2 linked regions of the Ovis aries genome follow. The protein of the gene in region 1 interacts with the protein of each later gene in a pairwise test. Links are inferred from orthologs where the notes say so. Each region holds a gene or a part of one and is shown on either strand. Other genes may lie near its edges.

Region 1 (4,959 bases):
AACCACACTGCAGTGGGGGGACAAGGGGGGACAGTAGGCACACCCACCCACCCTCTTCTCTGGGCTCCTGTCAGCCTGAGCCGAGGCCGTGGGGTACCTCTTCCTCTTAATCTTGTTGACCAGCAAAAAGAAAGGCCTGCAGAAGCCGTTCAGATTGTGGGGAGAACAAGACACAAGAAGCACCTACAGAGAGTGTGCCGAACAACCCAAAGCTGAATGCTAACGCACGAGCCGAGCCTCTGGCCCTTACCTGGAGACCGTGACCTTGACTTTACATAGACCCCCGACTTGGCTGTGTGTTTTCCTAGCTGTGCCAGGATCAGTGGGAGAAGATGTGCCAGATGGGACCAGACCGTCAGGCACAGGGGAGAAGATGTGTGACAAGAGTGACCTGGGGATGGCCCTTATGAGGGAGGGGGAGTGGCTCACAAGACTGTGTCATCTGTGGGATGAGATGGCAAGACCCCCCAGGCCACCTCCACCTGCCTGCGAGCCCCAAAGCCCTGGATGCTGGAGTGGGGGGACCCTCACTCTAAATCACAACTGGAATTAAGAACCGCTTTCAGTCCTGGTGGCATCAACCAGAATAAACCGCTCTCATTTGTCCAGGGACCAGAAGCCATGTGACTCATCCTCTTCTGGGGTCCATTCCCCGAAGGCACCCACCCTGTCCCCTAGTCTACATCACAGCACTGGCCCCAGACCATTTGCTCCTTCTTGTATTTAAAGATAAAACTCACCACACACACACACTGTTGGGGAGAGGAAAGAGGTAGGCAATGGGCTTCTGAAGAGCCATTTCCTAAAATATTCCTATTAGTGAACATGATCCAGGATACAAACCGAAATATCACACAGAGTAGTCCATGCAGCCAGGAGCCCCTCACCCCTGCCCCGGACACCTGTTTCCTTACACACGTCATCACCGCCACCACCACTTGCTGTCACACCTCTGGCCTTCATGAGTAAGTAACAACACCGAGCATTTACTGAGCACTCAGTGTCTGCACTGTGCTCGGAGCACTTGTACCTTTGTCTCATTGAATCCCTGCAGCAGCCTTAGGATGAGGATCTGAAGCTGGGTGGGGGCGGCAGCCCACCCACAGACACGAACCTTCCCACCACCTCTCAATCACCCAGTCCCTGAGGTCCTGGGATGGAGCCATGCTCCGCCTTGCTTACCTTCAGCCCGATGACGTTTTGCCCATTCACCTCACACACATAGTGGTTGGTGAGAAGCCCATTGCGGGCCGCAGAGCTCCCTTTGACCAAAGAGATGATCTTCCCCTTCTTGATGACGAAGCCGACGTGGCCTGTGCTGTCCTTGTGCATGGTGATGGTCCGCTGGAACGGCCTGGCAGGGAGGGATGGTGAGCTGGGCCTGGGGCATAACCAAGGGCAGACAGACAGGCTCCTGGGACCCGGGTGCTCACCTGTCCCGAACGACTATGACAATCTTCTCGGCAGATGCCTTCTTCACCACCTGGTGGGCTTTGTCTGTGCTCCACCCAGCACAGTCACGTCCATCAATCTGCAGAATCTGGTCCCCAAAGCGCAGCCCCACCAAGGATGCAGGGGTGTTGGCCTGGACCAGCTGCACGAAGAGCCCCTGGAGGAGGCAAGCCCCCCAGTCAGTTCCCCCAGCCCAACCTGAGCCCAGGTGCCTCCTCCTGGGCTGCTGTTTGCCTCCTGATCTTCTCAGAGCCTACTGGGCCCTGGGACTGCAGCTCTGTACAGCAACATACAGGGTACCCCATTTTCCTGGTGAGGAAGTGAGCCACACAGCTAGGAAGCAACGGAGTCAGGAATTCAGGAGTTTTCCCAGTATCTCAGATGATAAAGCATCTGCCTGCAATGCAGGAGGCTCGGTCAATCCCTGGGTTGGGAAGATCTTCTAGAGAAGGGCATGGCTACCCACTCCACTATTCTTGCTTAGAGAATTCCACAGACAGAGGAGCCTGGCAGGCTACAGTACATGAGGTCACAAAGAGCTGGACGTGGCTGAGTAACTAACACTTTCAGGAATTCCAACTAGTGGTTGCATCCCCAGTCACTAGACTACAAGGCCTCTCATGCTGGCATCTGAACCAACCCCGCCACACCCTTCGCCTTACACTGTCTTCAGAAAGCCTCCCAGAAGCCAGATCCCTGTGAGTGGGGAGCAAGGAGGCATGAAGTCCCAGGAGGGGCAAGTGGAGGGTCCCTAGCACAACCCAGAGCAAGCCCAGAGCAAGCGCCTTATGGGAGGCGATGGAAAGGACGAGCCTGTCTAGGGCTCAGGTGAACCTTGGCTCCCCCGGGCAGCTCGGGCCGCAGGCAGGCGCAGTCCAGCACGCAATCTCTCTCTGCGTTCCGCGGGGCCCCTCCCCTCCCGCCCGACCCCAGCCCCACCTTGTCGATGGCCTGCAGCCGCAGCCCGGTCTTGCCACGCTCGTCCTTGCATAGGTGGATCTCGCGCACCCCGGGCTTGATCTCCGCACGCAGTGCGCCCAGGCTGTTCCCGGACACCGGCGCCACCACCTGGCCCGGCGATGGGCCCGAGACCGCTGCCTGCAGACCACAGGGGAGAAGAGGTCAGCCAGCGCCGTGGGGCCTCGTGCCTCAAGGGTCCAAGCGTGGGAACAGGGATTGGCAAAAGAGAACCGGGTGGACCCTGAGCTCCAGCCCACCGCAGACCACACACACACCTCTTGCGAGCAAGAGGACACATGGCGCCATGAAGCCGCTAGGGGGCGTCAAAGTCCACACCCCAAAAAAACACAGCCAGGAAAATAGAGCCGGGAGGACAGGTGCGTATTATAGAAAAAGGGTCTTCATTTTCCAAGACAACTTGGTGTCAGAAGAACCTTTTTAAATCCACTTTAAAAGATTCACAGAAAATCGTGAACAATGAGGGGGTAAAGGAGCTCAAGTTGATTTCTGCCTTGAAAAAAAATTTGTCAAAAGTATCAAGATGAGTGAATACTATTCCCCCCATCAAAAGATCTGGAACAAGGCAAAGATGTCCACTCCCACCACTACTGTTAAATACAGTAATGGAAGAACTAGCCAGATTAGTAAGGCAAGGACAGGAAATAAAAGACATATAGATTGGAAAAGAAAACATAAAATGGTCCCTATTTTCAGATGAGACGATGCTTTACTAGAAAATTCCAAAGAATCTACAGATCAACTCCTAGAACTCATAAGTGAGTTCAACAAGGTCACAGGACACAAGACCAATGCATACCAAAAGAATCAATTGTACTTCTATATACTAACAATGAATACGTGGAAACTGAAATTAAAAATACAATACCACTTACAATCGCTAAAAAAAAAAAAGAAATACTTAGGTGTGGAGCTAATAAAACATATACAGGAATTGTATGCTGGAAATGACAAAACACTGATAATAGAGATCAAAGAAGTGAAGTGAACTGAAATGAAAGTCGCTCAGTCGTGTCTGACTCTTTGCAACCCCATGGAATGTACAATCCATGGAATTCTCATCACATCATCATATGATATTTCTACCTTTAGATAAAAACTGAAATAACCTCAGTAGGATAGATATTAGTAGAAAATAGTGACGTTATTAAAAAGATAAATTTTGAGTACTCATTACTGTTGTTTTTAATATAGTGTATTGTGAGTTTGATAGTGAAAGTCACTTAGCTGTGTCCAACTCCTTTCACCCCATGGATGAATTCTGCAGGCCAGAATACTGGAGTGAGTAGCCTTTCCCTTCTCCAGGAGATCTTCCCAACCCAGGGATTGAACCCAGGTCTCGCGCATTGCAGGCAGATTCCTTATCAGCTGAGCCACAAGGGAAGCCCACAAATACTGGAGTGGGTAGCCTTTCCCTTCTCCAGCGGATCTTCCTGACCCAGGGATCAACCCGGGGTCTCCTGCAGGCGGATTGCAGGCGGATTCTTTACCAACTGAGCTATTGGGGAAGCCTGATCAAAGGTCTAAATAAATAAAGAAATATTTTGTATTGATGGATCAGAAAAACTAGACGAAGCTGTCAACTGTCCACAAATTGATATACATATTTAATGCATTTCCTATCACAGTCTGTATGTTTTGTAGATAGAGGCAAGGTTAATCTAAACTTTACATGAAAACACAAAGGAACTAGAATAGCTAAAACTAGTCTGACAAAAAAGAAAAAAACAGGAGAAATCACTCTACCAGATTTCCAGACTTTCTGTGTAGCTACAGTCATCAAGATAGTGTGGTACTGGGGAGAGACAGACCTTTGGAGCAGAAGAGAGAATATCCAGAAATAGCCTCACACAAGTAGGGGCAACTGCTTCTTAACAGAGGTGTGAGAACGATTTAGTGAAGACAGAAGAGCCTTTTCAACAAATGGCATGGGAGCAACTGAACAGCCACAGGCAAAATATGAATCGTGACCTCATGCCTTATGCAAAGATTAACTCAAGTTCAATCATAAATTTAAACAAAAAACTATAAGAGTTTCAGAAGTAAAAGGGAAATTTTTTCAGAAACCTAGAGCTCAGTCAAGTTTCTTAGGACACCAAGGCATGATCCCCAAAGAGAAAAATCAATAAATTGAACCTCATCAAAATTGAAAACTTTTTGTTCTCCAAAAAACTCTTTTAATACAATGAAAGGAGGTGTTACACAGTGGGAGAAAAATATTTACGAATCAAATGACAAAGGACTTTAGAATAAGGTCTCGAAAGTTGACTTTAAAAAATAATCCATTTAGAAAATAAGCAAAATATATGAAGAAACATTTTACCAAAAAGAATATACAGCTGGCAAATAAGCACATGAAAAGATGTTCAACATCACTAGCCATTAGGAAAGTGCAAGTAAAAACCATGATAAGGCATCACCACACACCTACCATGAGTAAAATTTAAAATAGTGATAATATCAAATGCTGGCAAAGATGTGCCAACAAAACACTCATGCATTGTTGGCAGGAAAATAAAATAATACAGC
Region 2 (5,690 bases), on another chromosome or scaffold:
TTAACTAGCTAATAAAAATACATTAAAAAGTCTGAATCCCAAACTCACTGCTTACTTCAAAATACTAATTCTCCATTGGGTACATGTACCACAGCTTTCTTATCCATTCATCAGCTGATGGACATCTAGGTTGCTTGCATGTCCTGGCTATTATAAACAATGGAGTATTACTCAGCCATTAAAAAGAACACATCTGAATCAGTTCTAACGAGGTGGATGAAACTGGAGCCTATTATACAGAGTGAAGTAAGCCAGAAAGAAAAACACCAATACAGTATACTAACGCATACATATGGAATTTAGAAAGATGGTAACAATAACCCTGTATGCAAGACAGCAAAAGACACAGATGTATAGAACAGTCTTTTGGATCTGTGCGAGAGGGAGAGAGTGGGATGATTTGGGAGAATGGCATTGAAACATGTATAATATCATATAAGAAATGAATTGCCAGTCTAGGTTCGATGCAGGATACAGGATGCTTGGGGTTGGTGTGCTGGGATGACCCAGAGAAATGGTATGGGGAGGGAGGTGGGAGGGGGGATTCAGGATTGGGAACACATGTACACCTGTGGTGGATTCATGTTGATGTATGGCAAAACCAATACAGTATTGTAAAGTAAAATAAAAAAATTTAAAAAATTAAAAAAGAACCAAAATACTAATTCTTGTTGGTACAAAACTTAACATGTATATTAAACCATTAAAGTACTATAAAATATAACTTCCTTCATTAACAAAATGTGTCCATCATTTTAAGGGAAAATAATAATTTATAGAACAATATTTACAGCATAGCTTCATTGATTTAAATCATTGTTTCTATAGTATATATTTTAATTAAAATTATAAAAATGAAAGGATATGCACCCAGTAAGTTTTAGTGAGACTTATATCATCTTCCTCTACCACATGTGCCTGGCACATGGCAGGCACAAAAATATAATAGTTGAATGACTAAATAAATGAACTGATGCATTGTTGGTATAATTGCAAATTGTGATAATTTTTTCTGGAGAGAAGTTTTGCACTATGTATCAAAGAGTAAAATGATCAGGCAGTTTATTTCAGGACTCTCATTTCTAGGAATTCATCATATGGCTAATTTTTACAAGTGCATAGAGTAGGTATCTGAGATAACTATTTTCTAACAGGAAAAATACGTCTACTAGTAGAGAGGTAGTATAAGTAGCTGCTGTACAATAGGAATCTGGTTAAACTACGGGAAATATTTTCATGGAATATGCATCTATTTAAAAATGAGATGTTCAACCATTTACTGTGAAAATATAGCCACAATTAATTGATAAATAAGCAGATTACAAAACACAATATGATGTCACATAGATAAAACAGCATGTGTAAACAGGCATATGTATATATTTACAAAGAAAATTCTGGAAGAAAATGCATCAAAATTCTAACAGTGGTTATCATTTGATTGTGTTTGTATTACCATTGAAATTTTCTATGCTGTATTTTTCCTTACAATACTTACATACTTTGACAATCAGGAGTAAATAATAAAAGTAAATTCATTTATAAAATAGAAATAAAAGTGTTTCCTAACTTAAAAAATACAACTAAATAAGCACAAATTCTGTAATAAAAAGGAAAGATAAGAGGTAATCTAACTTTAATACTTTTCCTCATTTGAAATGAATAATTCATCATATTTTATATTTTAATTTGTTACTTGTAGTCTATGAGCAAGTTCAGAAAAGTGAATGTGATTAATTAGGTTATTTTCTACATTAGTATTCCAAATCACCTCTGTGGATTTTTCTGCTTCCATGGAACTAACAAGATATCTTCCAAATAAAAGGCTACATCTTGTGAATTTTTATTTAAATATAGATAGGTAATTCTTGTCATTCATAAAAATGGGCTAAATATGTTCCTTACCTTTCAATGAAAAGTAAACACTGGTCTTTTTGGTTGTACCAAGGGAGTCGTTCTGTTGCAGAAAAGAATCCTGTAAATAAAAATAACAGATACCTGTTTTTAAACTTCATTTTGCAAAAGTGTATTCATCTATTACTGAACCTGTAAATCATACTTCAGTATGGCTAGAATTGTACAATGTTAGAAGGAAACTGGTGGCAGATGCCATTGTAAAGTACACCCTGACAGAGGATGCAGTTTCATCAACACATTCCCCCTCCCATCCTGCTATTCGTGAAATTAAAAGCTGCTGCCACAAAAGTATAGAATAAACCATCTGCTTTTAAATACTACTACCTAACATTTGAATGCCCGTTTATCCTTTTTATCTACAAGATTGTTAAAAGCATGGAGAAAGACTACGTGGCAAATCACCAGCAAGGACAGGGTCTATGACATGTCAGATTAAAAAGAGAAATACAGTAAAAAAAAATGGTGTAACTGACTCACGGCAACATGGGTTCGCAAACCTTGTAGATGGATATAAAACAGGCTTGCCAAACATCACAAACAGCACTTATTAAAGCTGCTACGTGGAATTCAATATGCCTGCTTTCTAGCCCCTCCCCCCTTCGCCAATAAACGACTCCCCCTTTTTACCCAGTGTAAAAATACATGCTCATAAGACATTCAGATAAAAGAAAGAGAATTTAAAAAGAAATCCATAATCATACTATCCAATGATGCCATTTGGAGCATTTTCTTCCAATTTTTTAAGAACAGCTTTTTGTCACGAGGCCCCTGACAAACCAAATGGGAATTAAGGATGAGTGGATGGGAGCGTACTCCTCTTCCCTTGTTAGGAACCATGACTAGTATTTTTACCTCATATCTAAGCTTTTTTTTTTTTTTTTGAAATTATAAAACTATAAAGACAGAATTTTAAGGGGAAAAAAGTCTTCAGTGGTGTGTGCCTCAGCAACCAAGGAGCGACTGGAAAGGAAGGCGGAGCCTAGAGGCGGCGGTGTGCTTGCGCACTTATTGGGCTGATGCATTGTCAATCAAGGTCAATCAAGTTTGTCTAGCAAATGAGGTGCGAGCTAAAGGCACACTGGGAACTAAAGGAACTGGAGGTCTGACTGCGAGGGGAGGGGGCTCAAGATGTAAGCAGTGAAGAGATCTCGGGCTCTCGCAGTGCGATATTCAGCTGCGTCACACCTCAGTCCGCCGCAGCTGCAGGTCAGAGAGGCCTTGCCTCCACCACTGTCGCCCAGGCCTCCGCTGCCGCCGCCACCTCCGGTGCAGTCACCTCGGCCCAGCCGCGCCCCGCCCAGCGCTCCTGCTGCCTTCACCGCTGCCACTTCCTCAGCCCCGGCTTCCGCCGCCACCACCCAAGCATCCGTGAGTCATTTTCTACCCATCTCTGGGCACGCGGTAGTGACCACCTAAGAGGTTTGCAGACTTGCAGAATGGCAGAAGCGGATCCTAACAGGGTCTCGGAACCTGCCGCCCAGGGGGTGGATGGAGAGATGGTAGCTATCTCGTCTAGCGATTCTGGGGACGAATCTGACAGCAGCAGCTGTAGCAGCAGCAGTAGTTGCAGTAGCAGCAGTGGCCGCAGCCCATTCTATAGACGTATAAGTGTACCTGGGCCCTCCAGAAGTGTGAGGCGGGCTCCGTCAGGTAGAAGTTTCGTGGATCAGCTGCCTCGGGCGGTTAGAAATCGTGTGCAGGCTCTCAGAAATATTCAAGACGAATGTGACAAGGTAGACGCCCTGTTCTTAAAGGCAGTTCATGATCTCGAACGAAAATATGCCGAACTCAATAGGGCTCTGTACAACCGGCGATTCCAAATCATCAATGCAGAATATGAGCCCACGGAAGAAAAATGTGAATGGAATTCGGAGGATGAGGTGTTCAGCAGCGATGAAGAGATGCAGGAAGACTCTAGTGAGATGCCTGCTTTAGAGAGTGAGGAAGAAGAGGATGACCTGGAAGCAAAACCTGAGGTCAAGGCTGAAGAAAATGTAACACCAAAAGAAAATTCCGAAGCAAAGACTGAAGAAAAAGCACAGTCCAAAGATGCTCTGGAGGCCAGGCCTGAAGTAAAAGAAGATCCAAAATAAGCCCTCCAGGCAAAGGCAGAAGATAAAGGGCAGGCTAAAGCAGCAGAGGCTAAGGCAAGGACTCCAGGAAAAGAGGCTCCAAAAAGAGTTCCTGAGGTCACGCCTAAAGATAGAGCTCTTAAAAGAGCTCGAAAAGGAAAGCCTAAAAGATAAGATCCTAAAGGCATTCCTGACTATTGGCTGACTGTGTTCAAGAATGTTGACAAGCTGGGGCCCATGATTCAGAAGTATGATGAGCCCATTCTGAACTTCTGTCTGATGTTAGCCTGAAGTTTTAAAAACCCAGCAGGCCTGTAAGTTACACATTTGAATTTTGCTTTCTACCCAATCCATACTTCAAGAATGAGGTGCTGACCAAGAGATATATAATAAAGTCAAAGCCAGATCACAATGATCCCTTCTTCTCTTGGGACTGGGAAATCCAAGATTGCAAAGGCTGTAAGATTGGAGAAGAGGAAAGGATGTTACAATGACAACCACCCAGAGTTGCACAGCAGCTACTGGACAAGTTGAAACCCAGCCAAGAGTGGTTCCTGATGCATCATTCTTCAATATCTTTAGCCCTCCTGAGATTCCTACTATCGGAAAGCTTGAACCACGAGAAGATGCTATCCTTGATGAAGATTTTGAAATTGGTCAAACTTTGCATGATAACGTCATCCTGAAATCAATCTATTACTATACAAGAGAAGTCAATGGTACCTATGAGTCCATAAAGACTATGGAAATAGGAAATAACGAAAATATAAAAGAGGCTGCATGAAAGAATTTTCAGGAATCTCAAATTTCAAGCAGAAATGAAACAGGTTTATATAGCCTTGAAAAAACCTGCCCTGTAATCTCAACACTAGTATTCCTCATAGTCTTGAGTTTTTGTACTTTCTTCATAGCCTAAAATATTGTCTTAAATTGTCTTAAATTCTATCTAGCCTGTTGTTGTGTAATATTCTTCAAAACGTGTAACTTGCTGTCAGTTGTCTAAAGCATGTTGTTTGGTGCTACAAGGTTCTAATTTTTGTGAAATTTTTTGTTGTGTTCCTATTACAATATAGCTGTGAAAACTGTAAGAATTGTTAACCAAGACAATATTTCCTTGAAATAAAACAAAGTTCCTGAAATATCAATGCAAGTGTTTTTTTTTTTTTTTTTTTTTCCCAGACTGGAAGACTAAGGCTTTAAATCTGCTTTGTACTAGCTGTGCTTTCATTTGCTACAGAAATACAATATTATACTATCTTGAACAGTGCATTGTGAAATTTGACTGCTTGAAAAAAGATTACCATACATTTAATAATGTCCATCAAACCATGTATGATATGACTGAGCATGTTAATGTGACATAGTGATTTATAAATTTAAGGATAATGAAGTTACTGTTTACTACTGAGGTGTTAATATAACATAGCATTTTTTTAAAAATTCTGCTCATCTTATCCTGTGTAACTGTGAACTAAAGGTACTAACCACATTTTCTTTGTAATATGTTCTATTTTGCCTTTCACTGGAAATGATCACTTTATATCATTTGGTATTTATTTTTCATGTTCTATTGCAACCTAAAATAAAGAAATGTCAAATAAAGTGTATCATGCTATAAAAATCTACAATATTTGCCTCATTATAAAAAATGTGTTGCTTATTATAGAAAAAGTAGGGAATCCTTAGGAAAAGGGATATTTT

Evidence for each region.
Region 2: the proteins of SDCBP2 (region 1) and FAM133A interact in binary tests that used the Homo sapiens proteins (3 or more experiments, as listed by UniProt). The two-hybrid records come from large-scale screens. The link is inferred for Ovis aries from reciprocal best matches to the Homo sapiens genes SDCBP2 and FAM133A.

What each region holds. Positions count from the first base shown.
Region 1 is NC_056066.1:59,463,676-59,468,634, reverse strand, and holds part of SDCBP2 (syntenin-2), read right to left. Parts: intron 2,551-4,959; coding exon 2,392-2,550; intron 1,610-2,391; coding exon 1,434-1,609; intron 1,355-1,433; coding exon 1,183-1,354; intron 1-1,182.
Region 2 is NC_056080.1:140,887,832-140,893,521, forward strand, and holds the start of FAM133A (protein FAM133A), read right to left. Parts: upstream 3,180-5,690; 5' UTR 2,770-3,179; exon of another isoform or gene 2,619-2,769; intron 2,464-2,618; exon of another isoform or gene 2,242-2,463; intron 1,976-2,241; 5' UTR 1,906-1,975; intron 1-1,905.